Linked DNA regions of Pelodiscus sinensis. The protein of the gene in region 2 interacts with the protein of the main gene of each other region in a biochemical or structural test. Links are inferred from orthologs where the notes say so. Each region holds a gene or a part of one and is shown on either strand. Other genes may lie near its edges.

The links.
Region 1: the proteins of FOXA2 (region 2) and OTX2 form a complex in vitro, tested with the Homo sapiens proteins (2 studies listed by BioGRID). The link is inferred for Pelodiscus sinensis from reciprocal best matches to the Homo sapiens genes FOXA2 and OTX2.

The regions. Positions count from the first base shown.
Region 1 is NC_134714.1:10,379,254-10,390,194, forward strand, and holds the start of OTX2 (homeobox protein OTX2), read right to left. Parts: upstream 5,468-10,941; 5' UTR 5,106-5,467; intron 1,770-5,105; exon of another isoform or gene 1,678-1,769; intron 947-1,677; 5' UTR 825-946; coding exon 728-824; intron 351-727; coding exon 199-350; intron 1-198. UniProt on the Homo sapiens protein: Transcription factor probably involved in the development of the brain and the sense organs. Can bind to the bicoid/BCD target sequence (BTS): 5'-TCTAATCCC-3'.
Region 2 is NC_134713.1:196,614,566-196,625,108, forward strand, and holds FOXA2 (hepatocyte nuclear factor 3-beta), read right to left. Parts: upstream 5,388-10,543; 5' UTR 4,944-5,387; coding exon 4,849-4,943; intron 4,161-4,848; coding exon 4,091-4,160; intron 3,454-4,090; coding exon 2,251-3,453; 3' UTR 1,608-2,250; downstream 1-1,607. UniProt on the Homo sapiens protein: Transcription factor that is involved in embryonic development, establishment of tissue-specific gene expression and regulation of gene expression in differentiated tissues.

The sequences.
Region 1 (10,941 bases), on a different chromosome or scaffold from region 2:
CTGGTTGGGCCTAGGGTGCGTGTGTCCCTCATCTCCCATCCTGCCCAGAGAACCTGCCTCCGGCCGCGGGGAGGGCTGGGGAGACGCGCTCTGTGGACCCGAGAGGCTACAGCCGGCTGGGGCGGAGAGCTGGGAGAGGGGAGCTGGGTCAGGCTGGGGGGGGGGGCCGGATGAACGGGAGGGGGGATGAGGCCCTACCTGCACCCTGGACTCAGGCAGGTTGATTTTCAGGGCGACTTCCTCCCGCATGAAGATGTCGGGGTAGCGGGTCTTGGCGAACAGCGCCTCCAGCACATCCAGCTGCGCCCGGGTGAAGGTGGTGCGCTCCCGCCGCTGCTTCCGAGGGGTCGCTGCAAAGAGCAGCCGGAGGCCCTTAGTGGCGGTTAGCAGCAGAGCCGCCCCCCTCCCCGAGACCCAAACACCCTCTTGGAAAGTTAGCGCGGCTGGGGAAGGCCCCAGGGCGCATTTCCCAGGGAGAGGGGCTGGGGCAGGGAGCCGCAGCGCCCTGCTCAGCCAGGGTCCCCCAAACTACCTCCCCTCCCCAGCCTGGCCTCTCCGGGCAGGAGGTGGGGAGCTCTGGCAAGTCCCAGAACCTCTGGCTCGGGCGATGGGGGGCGCCCCACGGAAGGCGCCAGAGGTTGGCCACTGGCCCCAAAGGCGAGGCCCCTAAAGCCAGCCCCCAGCGGGGTCCCCTCGCTGGGCAGCAGAGGCGGATGGCGCCGCTTACCCGGGTAGCCCACGGAAGGATGCAGCAAGTCCATGCCCGAGGTTGTCAGGCTCAGCCCGTTGACGGCGTAAGGTGGTTGCTTGAGATAAGACATCATGCTAAAGTTGGGCTGGGCGGAGAGCCGGCCGAGGCGTCGGGGCAGGGGGAAAGGCGCGCACGCTCTGGGTTCCGTCCGGAGCAGAGATTCCGTGTCCCAGCGGGCGGGCTGAAACCAGATGTCTACACGGGGAAAGAGAGGCAAGGGGCGGGGGGCTGGTTAGCCGAGCTGCCTGGAGTCGATCTCTTATCTCTGCTGGCTCGCTGGAGTGTGAATAGCGACAGGCAGGGCCTCAGCTCTTAGCCCCCGAGAGTCCCGGCTGCAGCGTGGACCAAGAAGACACTCACTAGATAAACGCTTTAAAAAAGTGACACCCCATCTAGTAATTACAACCCGCCTCGCAGGAGCATCCCCCTTCCCCCCATGCCTTCAAATGCACACATTGTATTGCTGCCCTGGGCATTTGCATAGGGTGCATCGGCTGGCACTAGCTAATTGTCTCAAACAAAACTTGATTGGGGCTATTTGCGGACACAAAGACCTCCTTGGCTAAATAAATAATGCTGATAACAAAGCCCATTGGCGAGAAACAAAGAAACAATTCAAGACACCTATCTCTCCCTCGGCCTGTCGCAGGGCTTTTTAATGAGCCCACATTCAGCAGCTAGGAACCCCAAAATGCTGGCGCATTTAAGAGCAGAAATGCCATCTTGGAATGAGCCAAACTTTTCCGTCCTGCCACTATCATCCCGCGTTTGAAGTGATTTCCATCAGCCCTTTTCCACCTAATTAGTACGTTGGATAATTAGATTTAGAGGTAAGTAAGAGATTGATGAGGCTTTCAGGAACTCTTGATTAGGTCGCTCACGCTAAACAAACAAGTATTTAACTTTCAAACAAAAAAAAAAATCACCCAGCGAAACTTGCTTCCCAAGGTCCTCAAGGGTTAGGAAAAGACTCCCCTTAAAACACTAGCAGTCATTTTCTGTCCATTGCAGGCTGGGTCTGCAGGAAGAGGCATATTATTAGGAGAAATACCATCCTTTCATTTCCTAGCCCCCAGTAGCCTTTGGTTGGTTTCTCCCTAGCCCTACTGACACCTATTTGGAAAGCAGCTTCCCCCTCCCCCCCCCAAAAAAAACTCTTTACTTTTCCATCCTGCTCCAGGGTTCCAAAGTGTGACATTAACACAGCCCGGCAAACTAGCGTGTTCCATAAAATGTTACCCTGCTCTTGGACCGAGCTAAGGACTTTACAACTTTGAGGAAGCGCCTTATTTTCCCCCAAAATGGCGGACAGGGAGGAGGGAATTTCCAAGAGTGCAAGAAGAAGATTTGGATGGTGATGTTTAGACTGTCCGGCTTCCTGCTCCGATGGCATAAAGAACCCAGCCATCTCAATCAACTCCTCACTGCGGAAGTTAATTCATCTTTCACGTTACAAAACCACGCTCCTTTAATTCAACGTTAATGTAAAAATAAAGCGGATCTTTGAGACTTTTCCAGATCCCTCCCATTCAAAGGTAGATGTTTCATCAAATAAATGCCTATTAGCTAAATTATAAACCAAAGCCAGCCTACTCTGTTTCACGTGCTGTGTTACTACAAACCTTAGTCTAGTCTAGCAAGGTTTTTAATCGATACTTGGCTATTTTAACTTTCCTGAGTTGCATGAATTAAGTTTCTCAATTCCGATATTTATTATTGCATTTTTCTCTTGAACTTAACGGTACTTAATTTGCAAATCCTTCTTCTATTAGTGAGAAAACAGCAATTTACTAGGATCAGAAGAGATTTGTTTTTAAAAGTATATTGTGTGCGCGCATTTGTGAGTGAATAATAAACAGGCATCACACACACAATCACATATATACAAATATAGTTCATGCACACCTCTTCGGAAGTGTATATTTCACTACAATCCCTTATGGAAGAATTTCAGTTTAATTTAAAAAAAAAATTCTCAGAACAATTACAAAACAAAACAAACCCCCATTCCTACGTTTTGATGTTTGGCCACGTTAGAGGGACATTCCGAGTCCCATCTTCCTATGAAATAGGATTAAAAGCTTCCATGACTAGAATCAAACTTTTTTTTTCTAGTGAATTCGTTGCAGTGGATACTTGCCTTAAGTGGGAGAGATTTTCGATCTTAAAAAAAAAAGTGCAGGAAATCTGCCGCCCTTGGAACGCGGAGGGACACCATATAAATCCAAGGCGTTTGCAAATCTGGAAATGCGATGGGAAGTTGGATTTACCGTCCTGCCTTCTTGCATGCGGCTTTGCGCCTCTGACCTGCTTGGTGGCACGGTCTCTCAGTTTTATATCTAACGGCCATTCTGCTCAATCTGTCACCTTTTTCTCCCTCCCAAAGATCTCATCTACCAGTTGCTCTGCCCTCGCTCAATAATAATTACCCAGTCCAAGAATTAATTATAATAAATGTTTTCTTGATAAACTAACGAGATAATCCGAGGGACACACGTTCCCTAATTACGGGCCGCCAGACCTAGCTCGGCAGATCATGTGCACTGATTAATTTTCTGCCTGATGGCAATGAAACAAAACGTATATAGACTGGCGTACTGTTTATCACAACACGCAGCCTGGGGTGAAGAACTGCAGGGAAAGTTTTAGGCCTGGGGGGGAGGGGATCATTTAAAGGATGCAAACGGGGAGACCCCTCTTTTTGCGCATAGTCACTTTTTGGTGTCTGATATTGTTTGTGACAGTGATTTCTCTCCTCACCCCCCTTCATACTTTTAACAGGAAGGGGAATTTAAAAATACAGTTGGCGGTGGGTTAAGAGGTATCATCAAATCCTGCTTTTTATTCGAGCTCCCCAGTGTAGCTAAAAATCACCCAGACCTCACCATTCTCCTTCAAAAAAAGTTTTAAAAACTCAGCCCTTCGTTGCTACACAATAAAACCACCTGCACGGGTAAAAATCAGAGAACCGCCCTGCGAAGGAACTAACCTTCGGCATTATGGTAAACTCTCTTCCCCCCAAACCAGGCATTTTCACCTTTTTGGTTTTTAAAAAAATATTGGATGTCATGTGCACCGTACGCCCGCTTTGATCGCCATGAATGCAAACGCACGTAGATCCAAAATGACTGAATTATGCCGAAGACAGGTTTACACAGGGGAGAAACTTGCAACGGGTTTACTTTCTTCGGCCTAAGGGGAACAAGTTTAAAGAGATGCAGCTGTGTGTGTGTGTGTGTGTCCGTGTGTATCCGTGTCCCCAAGACTGCATCCCTTTGAACTTCTTCCTCTTTAGTCAACGAAGATAACCCCCTTGCAAGTTATATATCGGGGATATAACACAAACGGCTTTACACCACACACCTCCAATTGCAGAGCTTTGTCTCTGTCTACACCGGTCGGTAGCTAGTGTGTAGCCATTTGCGTTACACACACCACTCTGCGGTGTTTAGGTTTTGGGCACGGCTTCTCTGAAAGCACCTGTCCAGTGATAGCTGCAAACCGATCCGTCTCCCGTTTAGAAATTGACCCGATCCTTGTCATTCATTTCCACAGTAAAGAGAAACGGCGTATTTTTTTATTCTCTCTCCACCCCAAGTTGATTGAAAGAGTCTAAGCCCCCCCCCAACACACACACACACACACACTTAAAAAAAATCTAACCCTTTTCTTGTTGCCTCGAGTCCCGTCTGCTCAAAGCCATGTTTGCAAAACGACTTTTCCCTTTGCTGAGTCTATCGATCGGGAGTACGAGGCAGAAATCTGTTTATCAATAACCGCTCAGACCAGGGATGTCATTCCACATTATTATTATTATTTATTTAAGAAGTGTATGTACCGCTAGACAGCGGCCGGAGGATCAGGCCAAGCACAAGAAGAAGAACAATTTTGTTTTTCATGGGAAAAGCTCGCTTTGGGAGGAAGAGAGTCCCACACAGACAACCAAATCAAGGGAGGGGAGAGCAGTGTCTACCCGCCTCCTCAATTAGCAGGCTTGGTCCCTGCCTTTTCATTCAGACTCTGCATATCGGGGAAATGAATTAAATTATATTGGGGAGGCATCTGGGGAAGCGAGTTTCGGACCTTTTCCCCGCCCCACTCCTACCGGAGCTGCGAAACTAGGATCGGTCTCAGTCCACAGAACAACGGGAAACGGGCCACTCCGAATTATAGCGAGAGAGGCTGAATTGTGCCCTTGGCCAAGCGAAATCAAACTGTCGCTGTCGCGAGCTCTGCTGTGATTCCCGGGACAGATTTAGGGACCACCGCAAAGCGAGAGAGAGATCTTCACATGCTCAAGGAAAAAAAAGAAAAAAAGAAACCGTTTTCAAACAAGCAAAGCGTTCACACTTACCTTGAGGCTTCTAGGGAGGAGTGTGCCGGGGTGGGGGAGGGAGGAGGCGGGCAAAAAACTGACCAAATTATCCTTTGCCAAATTCAAAATAAAGCGCTCCCCTACAAAAGAAATCACAAAGCAGCGGGTTAGAAATCTTGCATCCTTCCACCTTGCCCGAGAAGCGAACGAAAAAGGGGGCGAGCGAGGCTACACGAGTCTAAAGGCTTTTCAATGGAGCAGGGGGGGGCTCTGTCTTCGATACATACAAAGTAGGACGTAGCCGGATCCGGCCAAGGGGTTTTATTTTTTAATAACAGTGGAGAAGTGAATTGGAGCTGAGGTCTCTACCTCTCTCAGGGAGATTTGCTGAGAAAGCGCCGCTCTGGCAACTTTTTGACGCAAACTCTCCAACCAATAGCAAGGAGAGAATGATTGACACATCTAAGCCAGAGGGAAAATAATAAAAACACACAACAGGGGGAGGAAAACAGGCCACTGCTGCACTGGGGGGACGAGCAGGCAACACGGAACAGCGACCAAAAACCGACACAAGAATATACATAAAAGCAACGAGGCTCGTTTTTAAAAAAATATACATTCGGGGCTGCAGCATATGAACTAATTGTACAATTAGCATGATGGACAGCAAAGATCACGTTACTTTCTTGCTGGGGGGAGAGGAGACGGTGGGGGAAGATCACACACACACACACACACACACACACACACACACACACACACACGAAAGAGGATATTAAAATATAAGAGTAAACATTATGGGAAAGGGAGGGGGTAGGGGATACATCCCGGGGAATTCAAAGCAAAATCTGCCAAGAAGCTCTTGGATTAAAAGCACAACGCATGTCAAAGACCGGAGTTTAACGCCCCCGCCTCCCCAAGGCAGCTGAGGTATCAAAGAAAGTGAAACTAAGTCAGAGACAGAGAAATAAAGCGCGAGCGAAAACTATTGGTGACAGGGACCAAGCCTGGGATGCGGGTCCAAAGTGAACTAGCCAGAGGCGGAGGGGAAACGGGTTAGTGCTGCTTCCCTGCTAGATGGACAGCGTAGGGTGCACTAGATGGGTGCAGAGATGCCCTCTCTATGGAGAGAGAGAGCCTGTGCAGTCAAAGGGGGCCTAGGGGAGAGGATCCTCTATGGGACAAGCGCGTAGCAAGTGCCTGGCGCGGGGGGGCGGAAGATTGCGCGCTTCCTCGCGGCCAGCACGCCCCTGGGCAATTCAGAAATGCCAGCTCTCTCCTGGTCGCCCGGTTTCGGGGACTTGCTCTGCTGGGTCCGAGAGGGCTGCTAACTCATCCCCCCCCCCCCCCCCCCAGAGCGGAGACCAGAGCACGTTTAAAACACGCGGAAAAAAGTCGCCGAGCTCAGCAGAAGCCGGAGAGGAAGCCCCTACTCCCGCCGGCACCCGGGGGAGAAATCAAATACAAGCCGGCCCGAGCCTGGCAGTGGGGGCATGAAGTACAGCGGGTCACTCGCCTCTTCCTGCCGCTTCCTCGCCCACATGTGCGTGGCCGGGACGCGCTGCAATGAACGAAAGAATTCAGAGCCTCGGCGGCTTTATTTTTATTTTTTATTTTTTGCCGGGGAGGGGCAATTCAAAACAAAAGCAAAAGTAAAATAATTGTTCCCCCCCCCCCAGCCCTTTGAGGGGAGACTTCTGAAAAGTTTGGGGCTGGCTGGGATGTCCGCAAGGGCAGCTACTCGCTAGGAAACTCCGCCGTGTCGCATCCCCTGGCTCCCCAAGAGAATCAAAGCATCGATTCCCCGGCCCTGCTTTGTAGGAACCCGGACACATGGATTTTGAGGGGAGTAGATACTGGCTCTTTGTACCCCTCTCCCCAGTCACTCGACAGAGAAGCCTGAAAATGATGTAAAATCCCCGTGTAGGCACCGCGTCCCTCTGAATTTTCCTTGCCATAATAAATATCGAGAATCAACTCTTCCCCTCCTCCCCCTTCATTGGTCCTCTCGCGATTTAATAAGATTAATCCACCTTGGAAGAAATCTAAAGATAATTTCTTCCCGTGCATCCTGGCCCAGAAGATTTTCTGAATGGGAATCGATTTTTTTTTGTTAAAAAAGGGGGCAGTAAAAGAGGGAATGGGGGATGTAGGTGGGGGTGGAGTGGGGAGACCTGGGAGGAGCCGTTAAATAAAACACAGCGCCCCAAAAAAAGCCTAGTGAAAAACCGGGACTGAAGAGCTGGGAATTGCAAGCCATGGAGTTTGTGGTAAATATCCAGACCAGCAGCAGCTCTTGAAACTGACCATGCTTAGATTGTGTGGGGGGCCGTGTGAATAAGGGAGCTCCCTTTCCTGTAGCTAGGGGACTGCATGAGGCGAGCTCCCCAGCCTGTTCCTTTGCCCTCTAGTCTAATAAGTTTGGAATAATCGCCCGGCCAATAAAACAAGTGGCAGAAATGGACGGTGTGACTTAAATAAACAAGGGTCTCTTTAAAATTCTCATCCACTTCAGATGTCTAAAGTAAGATTGTGATGATTTTGTCACGGTTTGGTAAATTTACCCCTTTAAGAGGCTTTCATAAATCCCAGAACACACCTTCAGCCAGATTTGAATATAGATTTAGGTTTTAAAACCCAGAAGCTGGGAACACCGCTTTATCAAAGAGAATTTCCCTTTAGCTTAGCAATGTGTTGGAATGGCTCTTGCAAAGATTGGATCTGAAAGGGGGGAAAGGGAGAAACCTTCTTTCTGGAGGAATTCTGCACAGACCTTGCAGCAGCTCCTGGCTAAACCTTTCCTGCAGCTAATGGGAAACTTGCAAAAATGGGGTTCTCCGTCGGTACGAATGCGCTTTAGCATTGCTTTTTTTTTTAATTCCAATATCTTCTTTTTCGATACGGAAACCCTTTTCAGACCAGGTGCACTGCCAGAAATCCAGCCTAACTCGGGATAAACTCCTAGTGAGTGGACGCTGTGGGGTGAACGATAAAGAACTCTGAGAACCAAAAATCTACTTCTGGGACGAAAAGCGCTCTGACTTCTGAGTCTCAGTAAGTTCTCCAACTTCCAGTACCAATTGTTTTCCATAGCCATTCATTTCCTCTCTCTGCCTAGCCATCCTCTCTCTTTTCCTCTCTATTTTTGATTCCTTTGGCATTATTTTCCACGCCTTCTACGTTGACTGTTTTGCAAGCGTTTGTGGCTGTTTGTTTTGAACCGCTCGGTGTGTAGATGATGACAAAAAGAGTTTATTACCGAAGAGTGAAGCGAGCTTCCCCGAATCTGAACCGATTTATGATTTGTCACCTTTCTATCGCAGCTCGGATCCGGAGAGCGAGGCATGCTACTCGCTTAGCTTTGCCCTCTGCGGAGTTGGGTCTAGTTAAAATATTCCGCACTTCCCCCGAGTTTATACGCGGTTTTCTGCTCCCCCCCAAAACCCCTCTTATTTTGGGAGGGATGCGATTGAAATAGCCATCCCCAAACACCAAGGGCCACTGTTCAGAAATGTTGCCAGTTGTTGCAATGTTAAAAAGAGCTCCCTTTTCATTCGGTCTCAGAGTTGAATACGTTCCTTTGTTGTTGTTTTTAATTAGTCGCCACCCCAACCTCGCTTAAAACAACTTTCATAATTGGGATGGGAGGGAGGGGGAGGGGAGGAGAAAAGGGAAAGAAAGAGGCAACATGGAAGCTTTCCATTTTACAGCCATCTATTCCCCAAACATGAGACACTGAGGCAGAGAGAACTCCCCACAAGGAAGGGCTGAAACTGACTATGGTCCAAAAAAAGGAGAAAGGTCTCCCTGAAATCGCGAAATAAAACAGATCGCGCGTGTTTCCGGAGGGAGCTGGGTGGGGGTCGCGCCTGAGGAATGGGTGGGATGCGAACTCGGGTGGAAACATTCTGTGCATACGTGGGAGCCGGTGGGTCAGGTGTGTGTGCGTGTTTGTGGCTGAAAGGCGTTAATTATCCGTTTCCGTGATTTTCCTCTCCTGGCCCTGGAGTTGCCTAGATGAGGAGCAATCCGTTTATAGTTCCCAGTCCTGATATTAAAATAAGGATTCCCGGCCGATATCCAGCACGCTGGCAAACTTCATAGCTGGCTTGGGGAAGGGGGAAAACCAGAAAGCAATGGGGGTGGTAAGAAAGAATAAAAAAAACTCCTCAGCGAAGCTCTAACCGAGCCATTCCCACCTAACCTTTTACACCCTTTATTTCCCGCACACAGAAAACGTCTTTTACTGAGACCCGCAAAGAACTTTCCCTTTGCTTTGGTTTCCTTTGGATTTTTAATTAGAACCCATCAGATGCAGCCATATATATAAGAATCGATATAAAGTAATCCTCGGAGATGGGGGATAAGGTTTTAATCGAAAATCTTCTTTGCCATTCTTTGCAGATCTTCTTTAGCCGCTGGCTGGTGGAGAAACAAATGTTCATTTTAACCCCCCCCCACCCCCCACCCCCCGCACACAGACAAAGCAGAAAACTTGCAAAAGATCAGAAACCAACTGTTGTTACCCTGGGAATAAGAAATGAACTCTCATGTTATCTTCTTTCTTTCCCTTACTCCCAACGATTGCTTGGTGGTTTTCCTACCTACATGAATCTCTAAACATCACCTTGAAAAATAGATCCATGTTTTCATCTGCTGCACACCACGTTGGAAGAATTATTTTCCCTGCAAAAGAAAGAGGCGGGATTGTGTGTGTTACTAAAGATCCAAAAAGTACAACATGGGCAGGAAATCGTCTAGTAAACGAAATCCTTAAATTGGCCACAGATTAAGGAAGGAATAGCGAATTTTTTAACCGCGTTTTGTTTGCTTTTGTTACATGATGTTCCATTTCATTCGCCTCTGTTACTTCAGGAAATATTTATTTTCGAATGTCAAAAAAACCCCAGTCTTTAGCCCGTACAGACTAGCAATCGGTACTTTGCTCAGAGGGGTGGGGTAGGGGAGGGAGGGGAAGAGACGCCAGCGTTTTAAACAATACCACCAGCTTCAATTTGTTTTGTTATTTTAAAATTCATTGTCAGTCTATTCTGGCTCCCCTGTGTTCTTGCATGATTAAACTGTGTTATTTGTGTTCCCAAAAGCTGCGCATTATCTCCAAGTGCAAGTGCATTTGAAAGCATCATCCTCTGGTTTAACGTAAGCAAACCAGACTGCGGGAAAAAAAAGTTTCCCCGCGTAACTGCGGCGGAGCGTCGACTCGGGAGTCGTGTTAATCATGATTTTCTATTTGATAAGTGCGTTTTAAAGAAGGGTCCCTGCTTCTATTTATTTATTTATTTATTTTTAATCTGAAGACAAGCGAGCCTGCCTGGCCGCGTTTGAAACCCAAGCTGGCGTCTTAGCTCGATGAAATTTCAATTTATTTAAAAGCCTGGTGTTTAATACACGACATGGGCCACATATAGCGGAGGCAGCTCCCTCCTCCCCCGCTGTACTTTCGCCGTAATCGCGTCTAATGAAAACGTGGGATTTCCCCATTATTTGGGGGAGGGGGGGGGAGAAGTGAAAATATAATGCATCTTCATTAGGAAAATTGACTGCTGTGCTCAAGACAGTTCTTAATTGAAAAGGCAACCTATTTTAATGGGGTGGGCGAGGAGAAGATTACATACTTTATCCAAACACAAAGACAATTAATAACGAGGAGCAGCCTGCTGCCATTAACTCTAATGCAGTTGCATCAATGTCAGACTGAGGGCTCCTACCTGGGACAGATAGTGAAATGCGCTCTCGGTTCGCGTCTGCTCTCCACTTGGCGAGTCGTTCATTGCCCCCGAGGCGAGGCCCCGTTATTTTTGGTCCGGGGATACACTGATCAAGAGCAGGCACCGATTTTTTATTGTTGTGGGGG
Region 2 (10,543 bases):
ACACAAATTTCACTATTTTCACTATCGCTCAGTTCGTTTCTACGGGGATTAAAGAGTTGAAAACACAGAGAGCGACTATTAATTTTTTTTGGGGGGGTGTAGCTATGAAATTGTTTTCTTTAGCATACAGAAATAGGAACGGGTTTCTTTCTGCTTTGCTCACTCCTCTGAAGAAGTGGGGTGTGCCCAAGAAAGCTCAGGAATTTAGCATTTTTGGTCTGTCTCTAAGGCGCTTGGTTGTTTTAATTTGTGTTTCGTTCCAGACTAACACGGCTATCCCTCTGAGACTTTATTCACCACACAGGGCTAAGGAAGCCATGTGAATACTTGTGTAATAGGCTGGAAACAGCTTCTAATGTTTGGGCTCTAGGGCACCCCTCGCTTTGGGTCACCGCTCCGGATTTACGCGCGGAAGGTGCCAGCCGCGCATTCCCCGACTGCGATTTTAGGTTCTTGGGACTTGACCCCAATAAACACGGGCCCGATCCTGAAGTTCTCTGGTAAAATTCCCAGCGAAATCCCGGCGCCCCGCGTGCATATTGGCGTGAAAATATGTCGCGCAGACTCGCGTGTGGGCAGGCCCGCTCCACTCGGGGTCACTTCGCACTTCGGGCAGCGGGCGCTCCAAGCGGCAGGAGCCGATGGCCTTTGGCGAGGCCCCAGTCCCCTAAACCTCCCCTCTTCCCCAAAGCTTGGGCTTCTCCGCCTTCACCCAGCCGCCCCCCTGGTCTCGGAGCCATAGTGCGCGACAGCTCCCGCCGCCCTGCGCCCGCTGACCCCTTTCAAGCTGTGTGCAAACTCCAAAGTTCATGACTCCAAGGACAGCGAGTCACCTGGCGCCAGTGAGTTTTACAGCGCCTGGATTTCAGGTGGAATCCCCGGTCTGAACTGGGGGGGGGGGAGAGAAGAGGGAGAGAGGAGGGGGTTGTGTCCAAGGGCAGTCATTACATGAAAATCCCGGGTCTATAAAGGCGGGTTGGTCCTTGGTCTGGTTTGGTTCGCGGCTTGGCTTAAAACGTGAAATATCCAAACGTGGTGAATTCTCAAACGCTCCCTTTGCTTTAGATCCCGAGCCGCTGAAACCCGGAGCGCATCCGTGTAACTGTTTCAAACTTTTTCATACAACCGTGAACAAAATCTAAGCGGTCATCTACTTTTCATGTGTGTGTCTTCTGTATGTAGCTTATACGATTCTTTAATCGATATGTAGTGTGTGTATATAATATATATCTTTTTATAGATGTGCCTAGACAGTTTATATTTTTCATATGTGTATATATCTTATAAGATATAGTACGTATTATATATAAGCTATATAATCTATTAAATATATATTAATAAAGATATATCTCATAATATATACAAATATATTGTATCTTATAAAACAAAGGTTTACATTCTTTCCATATATGAATGTATGCTATTCAGAAAGAATAAATACACACAAAGATACAAGCCTAGGTAGAGATTTAAAAAAAATATATATATTAGTATCTGAAATAAAAAGGGAATCCATTCGTTTTTCGTTTTCCTTGTCAGCGTTTTTTTCCCCCCTCCAGCGGGGCAGAAACAAATGGGAAAATCCGGGAAAAAAAGATTCAGGGGGAAAAAACGCCAATAACACTTTAATATAGTTTTTGTGAAAATCTGGCTCTTTGGGACCAGAATACACATTTATAAGCCATAAATAAAGCATACAGAAACGATAAATTAATCAGATCCAAGTAGTTTACTCGCCCGGTAACATCAAACGTTTGTATCAATTACAACAATCTAGCCTGACTTTTTTTTTTCTTTTTGTGATTTTTTTCTCTCTTTTTTTTTTTAACCTTTTTTTGGTGTTTTTTTTTCCCTCCCACTTTTTACACAACATGACAAGACTTTTGGTCCTCCCTTTCCGAACTAGCCTGGTTTCACACCGAATTAAGTTTTCCGTCACTTTCACACACGCACGCACAGGAAAAAAAATAGATATATTTATAACTCCCTGCAACGAAAAAGAGGACCCCACCCTCCGCTGCCCAGGACATCAAATAACGCCCCTCCCCCCCCAAGAAAGCACCCCAAGTCTCCGATTGAAACGGGGGTTTCCGGGGCCAATCCGGGGCCCGATCCGTTGGCCTTTGGACCGGGCTGGGAACGTGTCCTCGGAGGTCGGTCCCGGACACAAAATAGACACAATAGCTGGAGCCACGAACGCCGGCGAGGGCCGACCTCCGTCCCCTAGCCGGGTGGGGCCGGGGAGCCCTTTCAGGACGAGTTCATGATGGGCCGAGCGTACACCCCTTGGTAGTAGGCGGCGTCTCCGGCCAGCGCAGAGGGGTCCAAGCCACCTTTGTTCGTGACGGGCCCCATGGCCAGGCTGCCGGGCATGGGGGAGCCGTAGCCGGAATAGTGCATCACCTGTTCGTAGGCCTTGAGGTCCATTTTGGGGGGGTGGGGGTGCGGGTGGGGGGGCGGCGGCGGCTCGGACATCAGGTTGTTGATGGAGAAGGGGTGGTTGAAGGCGTAGTGGTGCTCGGGCTTGAGGTGGGCCGGGTGGGCCAGGTGGTGGGGGGCCAGCAGGTGCTGGGCCGGCGAGGGGGCCTGCTGCGGGGGGGTCCCCGCTTTGAGCTCGGCCAGGGCCCGCTTGTGCTCGCGGCAGGGCGAGGCGCCGGGGTGGGGGGACTCGGCGGCGCTGTCGGAGCCTCCTTCCCCGGCTTGGGGGGCCGCCTGGGGGGCCGGCGGCGGCTGCTTCTTGCCCCCGCCGCCTCCTCCGCCGCCCCCGGCCCCCGCTCCTCCCCCGCCGCCCGCCTCCTTGCTGCGCTCGCACTTGAAGCGCTTCTGGCGGCGCAGGTAGCAGCCGTTCTCGAACATGTTGCCGGAGTCGGGGTGCAGGGTCCAGAAGGAGCCCTTGCCCGGCTTGTCGGGCGAGCGGGGCACCTTGAGGAAGCAGTCGTTGAAGGAGAGCGAGTGGCGGATGCTGTTCTGCCAGCGCTGCTGGTTCTGGCGGTAGAAGGGGAACAGGTCCATGATCCACTGGTAGATCTCGCTCAGCGTCAGCATCTTGTTGGGCGACTGCTGGATGGCCATGGTGATGAGCGAGATGTAGGAGTAGGGCGGCTTGGCGTGCGTGTAGCTGCGCCGGTAGCTCTTGGGGTCCCGCGCGCGGCCGGCCAGGTTGCCCTGCCCGTACATGGGGCTCATGGGCGTCATGTTGCCGTAGGGGGCCAGCGAGCCCCCCTGGGCGCCCATGGGGCTCAGGCTGGGGCTGAGGTGGGCCCCCATGCCGCCGCCCATGGGCCCCGGCCCGGGGGACATGCCGGCCAGAGAGGGGCTCATGCCGGCGCCGTAGGAGACGTTCATGGAGCCGGGCCCGCCCAGGCTGGCCGCGCCGCCGCCGCTCATGGCCGACATGCCCATGTAGGTGTTCATGCCCAGGCCCGCGTTCATGCCGCTCACGGAGGAGTAGCCCTGCGAGGGGAGAGGAGCGGGAAGGGGGGAGGTTAACGCCGCTGCCAGGCAGTGCGGGCCGCCCGAGCGAGGGGGCTGGGGCGCCCCCCAAGCGCGCCCCCCCCTGCCCCCGCTCCCCAAGCCCCGGGGCGCGCTGCGCTCTGGCGGAACCGCAGCCGGCGGCTCCCCGCAAGAGCAGCGCCGGGAGAGGGAGCGGTCGCCCCGCGCTGGGGCAGTGGGATCGCGGGGGGGGGGGGGGGGGCTGGCCGGGCTGGAATCGCTCCCAAGCCGCTGGCCGCCCGACCCCCCTGGATCCGAGGATCAGGACCCGCCGGCTGGCTCGGCTCGCAGGATCGCCCCCTGCGCGTTGCCCCCTTCCGTCCCCAAACCCCGTCTCCGGCCACAAACTTCTCCCCGGTCTGCCTTGGCCCCCCTCCCGCCCCGGTCCCCCCCGGCGGTTCCCCTGCCAAACACAACTTTGTGAGGAGAGCGCGGGCCGGGCAGAGGATTTGGAAGCGGCGCGAGTCAATATTTGAGCACAAAGTTAATATTATCTCACGGCTCACCCGGCGCGGCAGCCGCCCCGCGCCCTGCTCGGGAGGGGGGGGGACAGGCACACACCCCCACCTCCCCCCCAGGAGCCAGCCGGGCGTCCTACCTCGGGCTCGGCGTAGTAGTTGCTCCAGTCCGCGGGTTCGTGTCCTTCCATTTTCACGGCGCCCAGCATACTGGAAGCGGAGTGCATGGCCGTTTAAAATTTAACAGCCACCACCGACGACAGGAGAGAGAACAACCCAAAAAAAAACCAACCCCCCCCCAGCCCTCCCTCCCTCCCCTCCAGACTCACTCCCGCGCTGCCTGCCTGCGAGGGGAGGGGAGGGGAGCAGGCTGCTAGCTTGGGGTGGATGCTTTTTTTTTTTTTTTTTCCTCCTGCAGCCGCTGCTTGGGTGAGTGGTGGGGGGTTTTTTTCAGCCCAGACTCGCCCGGAGGCGCTGGGGAAAGGAGGAGGCGCAGGACGAATGCAGCTGCTGTGACGTGGGGGCCTGGGAGATATAGCACCGGGGGGCCCCCCGGCCGGCCTCCAATCCCTTCTTCCCAGGCAGCCGATTTGAATAATCAGCTCACACCTAAGCGACAGGGCACCTGCCCGCGGCGGGGGCGGCCGGATCGGGCCCCAGGGCGAGCGCGCTGCGGCTGGACCCGGCTTGATGGGCCCCTGTTTTGGCCTCTGTCCGGGGGCGGGGAGGGCATGTGGGGTGCTCTGCAGTGAGGACCGCAGCAGTTCCCCTTCCCTCGCTCCCTCCCCAGCTCTGGACTCTTCCTGGTTTGCGAGCCTGGCTGCACGGCCCTCGGGGCTCGCTAGCCGGCCACCCAGCCCGAGCCTGGCGCTAATTCGAATCCGGGCTGTTTACACACCTTCGGCCCTCCCGACGCGGCTCCGGGCGCGCGCGACCCGGCGTCACTCCGCTCCCGAACCGAGCCGCAGCAGCGGCGGGGGTATCACGCCGCATTCCCCCCGCGCCGCCTGGGGCTTAGGAAGGGGTGAAATGGCTGGGGAGCGCCCATTCGGCGGCGGCAGGGCAGCCTGGCCCGCGGTTACCCAGCCACCGCCGAGGTAACTAAAACAAACAGGGGCAAGGTGCGGGAGCCAACAGCCGGGGCCCGGGACCTGCGATTGTCTCCCGCAGCCCGGAGCAGCGTCTCCTGCGCCAGCGGCTGCCCCCAGGAACTACCGGCCAGGTCCCAATTCACCCACAACGCCTTCCCAGCGGGAACGACCCCGCATCCCAACGCTTGGCCGTGGGAACTAGCCCCGTCCCCGGCCAGCTCGCCACGCAGCCCCCTGGGAAGGGGACGCGGGGTCATGGGTCTGGGACACGCTCGGCCAAGCTTCCTCGCGGGGCCTGCTAATTGAGAGTCCATTTTGTAACTAGTGGGGGATTCTTTTCCCGTGTCCCTGTTTTCTTAGATAGATGGATGGATGGATGGATGTGTATGGAGAGAGAGAGAGAGAGAGAGAGAGAGAGAGAGAGAGAGAGAGAGAGAGAGAGAGAGAGAGTGTGTATGGGGAAAGAAAGAAAGAAAGAAAGAAAGAAAGAAAGAAAGAAAGAAAGAAAGAAAGAAAGAAAGAAAGAAAGAAAGAAAGAAAGAAAGAAAGAAAGAAAGAAAGAAAGAAAGAAATCAGACAGACAGACAGACAGAGGAGGTGTATGGGGATCGATAGATAGATAGATAGATAGATAGATAGATAGATAGATAGATAGATTAGATAGATAGATAGATAGATAGATAGATAGATAGATAGATAGATAGATAGATAGATAGATAGATAGATAGATAGATAGATAGATAGATAGATAGATATGGTGTATGGAGAGAGAGACAGGCAGACAGACAGAGAGAACACTACTTGCTCTTCTTGCCACAGTTGTTCGACCAAAGGCTGGAACTTGTCTTTATTTTCTGAGGATACTTCAGCCGCTGTTTGAGACATTAAACGAAGTCAAGTGTCTTTAACAGCTTCGGCTCATGAGAGATTAAACGGTCTTTCTCGAGGAATAGAAAACAGCGATTCTGCGAAGGGGAGTGATCCTATTTCGTTGCCAATACCCCGCAGACACCTGGTCTCCATCCGAATTTTGAAGTTAAGGTTGTAAAGAGAACAAGTGATTCTAGTTTTGTCTGACAAAATTCTGTCGTAAAAAAAAACAGGGGACGGTGTCCTGGCATCATCCATTATTTTCATGTACAAATGTCCACTGAAATCGACACCCTATCTATCTATCTATCTATCTATCTATCTATCTATCTATCTATCTATCTATCTATCTCCATACAACCCATCTATCTATCTATCTATCTATCTATCTATCCCCATACATCCCCTCTATCTATCTATCCCCATACACTCTATCTATCTATCTATCTATCTATCTATCTATCTATCTATCTATCTATCTATCCCCATACATCCCCTCTATCTATCTATCCCCATACACTCCATCTATCTATCTATCTATCTATCTATCTATCTATCTATCTATCTATCTATCTATCTATCTATCTATCCCCATATACCTCCGCTATCTAGCTATCTGGCTATTTATCGGCATACACCTCTCTCTCCCCCTCGTCCCCATACACATCTATCTGTCTGTCTTACAAAACTTCTCCCTAAAAAGATATCACTATCAATAAATGGCGTAATATGTCCCACTAACTTTTCTTTCAAAGAAGACAAACACTTCCCAACTCTAAGAACGAAGGTTTTATAATAATTATAATATAATGCTGATATAGACCGCCCCAGAGGTTTTTCATTTACACGCAGACACTCATAAAATGAATAATTTTATAACGGGTACAGACATGTCTAAAGAAGCCAACAGTCGATTAAACAGAAATGTTAAAGGACGCCAACAAAAAAAATCAGCCAACGTGATTTTGTGAGAAACTGAATATTTTGTTAATAAAAATATGAATCTCTCTTTTTTTATTCTGCAGAATTAGCGGCTTTTCTTCTGGCTTTTTAAGAGTCCGTATTTATTGTTTCAACTAAATGATGACAATACAGAAGCCAAGCTACAGGGTCCCTTGGGAATAAGTGTGGAAAGCCAAGATCTGATTAGCACTCTTTTAAAAAAATAGATAAACTGGCGCTTCTCCTGTGTCTTGCTTGATGGAAACAGACAGTTTTTCTGGCACCTTTTCAGGGTCTTACAGATTAAAATATAGTGGTAGAGCGCCCCCTGTCGTTGGTTCAATGGCACTCCATATTCAATAGGATGAGGGGCCTGATCCAAAGCCCATCGAAGTAAATGGAAAGATTCCCATTGATTTCACTGGGCTGTGGATTAGCCCCTAAAACCAGTGCCTCTATGTGTTAGCCTTCATTTTAGAGTCCAAAGCAGCCTGCTTCTTAGCTTGTGCACAGTGGCATACTGCCTGATCCTTCTACTGTAACCAAATGCTTGTAGAGTGATTTTAGAGCCTCAGATGAAGGGTACATCAAGCGGTTGTTTTTCTTCTCAGTATGACTACACTTTTAAAGAATCCTTCCTATTAAACAGCAGCCATAGCCCCACAAGACAACCAACTATCATTAATGAATAATTGCAAAGAGGTTAATTGGACAATTTAAACATTCCCCCTCCCCTCCCCTCCCCCCACACCCACCCCTACTCCATACACACACAATACAATTGTCTATTCTAAATGTGCTTGTTCCTGTGAGGTTTCATGTATCTTCTGAGCACAGTTATTGGTTTGATTAAATCACTGGGTAGAATTCTGTGGCCCTGTGTGATGTCAGAGGTCACACTAAATTATCATAATGGTTCATTCTAGCCCTTTAGTCTGTGTAATTCTTTTTGGGGCCCCTTGAAATGGCTGCCAGTGTCCCTAAAAGCCACCTGATCTGGCTACAGTGGATTCCTCCAGGGGGAAACCACCTTCTGAGGACACACTTGCAGGCTTTGGTGTAGGGAGGTTCGAGGAGGAAGGGACATTCTGAGCACACTGCAGCAACAGAGAAAAGAAAGGAAGGAATATTGTGTCCATTTTACAGATGGGCAACTGAGGCCAGGGAAGATGTGGGTGATGGGCTCTTCACTCACCTGTCAAAACTGGGGCAAGATCTGTTTTAGGGATGGAGCAACTATTTTTTGGTGTTGGTCATCCACTACATCACATTAGAACAGTGCATGTGGCTTGTACTTCAGTGTTTCCTTCCACGCTCCTCTCCCGCTCAGTTTAACCATATGCAATACAACAGAAAAATGCATTGCTTGAAAGGGAAAATATAAGGAGCTGATTAAGTAAAATCAATTAAGAGGATGTTGCATATAAATAATTGAGGGTGAATGACCCAAAGATCAGCTATTTCTAGTTTAGTGCTTGACATTAAGTTAAATCTTTTTTGGCATGGTTCTGATGGGAGGTGACTTTTTTCCCCAGGTATGAAATCAAATGGCAACAGTGCCACGAGGAATGATTACGTGATCGTGTTCTAACCGTCTAACAGATGTCAAGGGCAAAATAATTCCCCTGAGTTCAACAATAGTAGGAGCAAGTCCTTAAAGAGGATTTTCTAGCACCAATCAGATTGTCCAGCCTACACCTACACAGCGCTTAACACGCGGTTAGACTTGCTATTGATCTCGGCAGGGTTCCTCACAGCGCATACAATTAAGCACATCGATAAAGCTTTGCTGGCTCAGAGCCTACATTTATCCTAGGTCTGGCCTGCACCTAAAAGTGAGATCAGCTCTAACTACACCACTTAGAGCTGTGAAAAATGTCAGCCCCTTCCCACTGCAGATGCAGCTAAGTCTTTCTCTCATCCAACCTAGCGACCGCCTCTCCGGGAAGTCCGTTAGTCACAGAGATGGAAACAAGGATCTTCCCCCAGACCTGAGAGGTTCCAAAAGGATCCTGTGGGATTTCTCTTTTCTCTTTTACTAATGCTGAGATTTCTGCCCCAAATATTCTAATTCGAGGGCCTTTCCCGACTACAGAAGAAGACCCCAGGTCTGCCCCTGCAGTCATGCCGTTGGATTTCTACGGTTAACCAGATGCCCTCTGTGTTCACATTTTGCAGGGCTGGCGGGTGCACTACAGATGTCCCTGGAATGGCATATACTCTCCATAGGTCTGGTCCCATGACCAGAACCACTCCTGAGATCCTCAAGTTCTGTTGCTCATTTACACCCAGGCCTTTGACGGGAATGTGCCAGTGTCAAAGTGTAATTTGCACCTTAAAGTAGGCGTAAATTGCATTTCCACCAGAGAATGTCACAGGGCATTTGCAAAGGTCCTTTAAAAATGGATCTGGGAGAGCAGGAGTAAGACAGGAGAGTCTGAACCTTTTAGACCCGCTGCTGCGATGCTTTTTAGAGTGTGTGATGGATCTTTCAGTCCCAGCTGGTCGACAGACAATCAGCTGGTGTCATTCCCTTGCCTGTTACTACATGGATACTTAGTAGTAACTGTTCTGTTTCAGAAGTTTCAGTCATCTAAAGAAGTGGGCTGTGCCCACGGAAGCTCATGATCCCATCTACATGTTTTGTTTGTCTATAAATTGCTACCAGATCATTTGCTGTTTTTTTCTGTAACAGACTAACTCGGCTACCCGCTGAAACTCCACCCTGGTAGTTCTCTCCACGCTGGAGAAGAGTGAGAACTCACTAGCCTCCAGATGTCTGTGCACCTGGCCCCTAAAAGCCTGTTAAAACACCGCATTCTCCCAATCCAAGGGAAGGCACTATGGAAGGGAAACTACGGTAACCAGGACATTTCAAACCAAGGCCCCTTTTCTCCTGGAGGAAGCTTGCCCTTCCAGCACCCACAGGGAGCAACGGAGGTGTTAATCTTTGTTTTCTTTCCACTTTCTGCATACAGTGATGCAGAGATTTGCATCCACCGCTTCTCATGAATGCAGGCCGTGGGGTGGCGGGGGGGGGGGCATTTGGGAAATACATGAACCCATCATGCCCATGCTATAAATGGTATCCAGGGACTGATTGATCCTATTTTTTTTGGTTATGAATACACATTTGAAACAAGGGTTGTGCTTCTCGCTTCGGAGACACCTCAAATGCCAAAGGGTAGGAGGAAACGATTTCCTTTGGACAATCGGTGCATGAAATGCCCCGGACTAGTGCCTCCGATCATGTGGAGGAAAGAATGGAAACATAAGGGTCTGATGTGAGGCCAATATTCAGTTGAGAACTTTTGCACAAGGAATTGGCATTTATCTTGTGCTGTAGCAGGGAACTCTACATATCATAACATAAGAACATCAGAACGGTGACATTGGGTCAGACTACAGGTCCATCGAGCGCAGTGTCCTGTCTTCTGATAGTGGCCAGATGCCCCAGGAGAAATAAACAGAACTGGGAATCATCAGGTGATCCCTATCCTGTCACCCATTTCCAGCCTCTGACAAATAGAGGCTAGAGACACCATCCCTCTTCATCCTGGCTAAAAGCTATTGATGGACCTAACCTCCATCAATGGATCTAGTTCTTTTTTGAACCCTGTTAAAGTCCTGATCGTCACCACATCCTCTGGCAAGGAGTTCCACAGGTTGCCTGTGAGCTGGGCAAAGAAA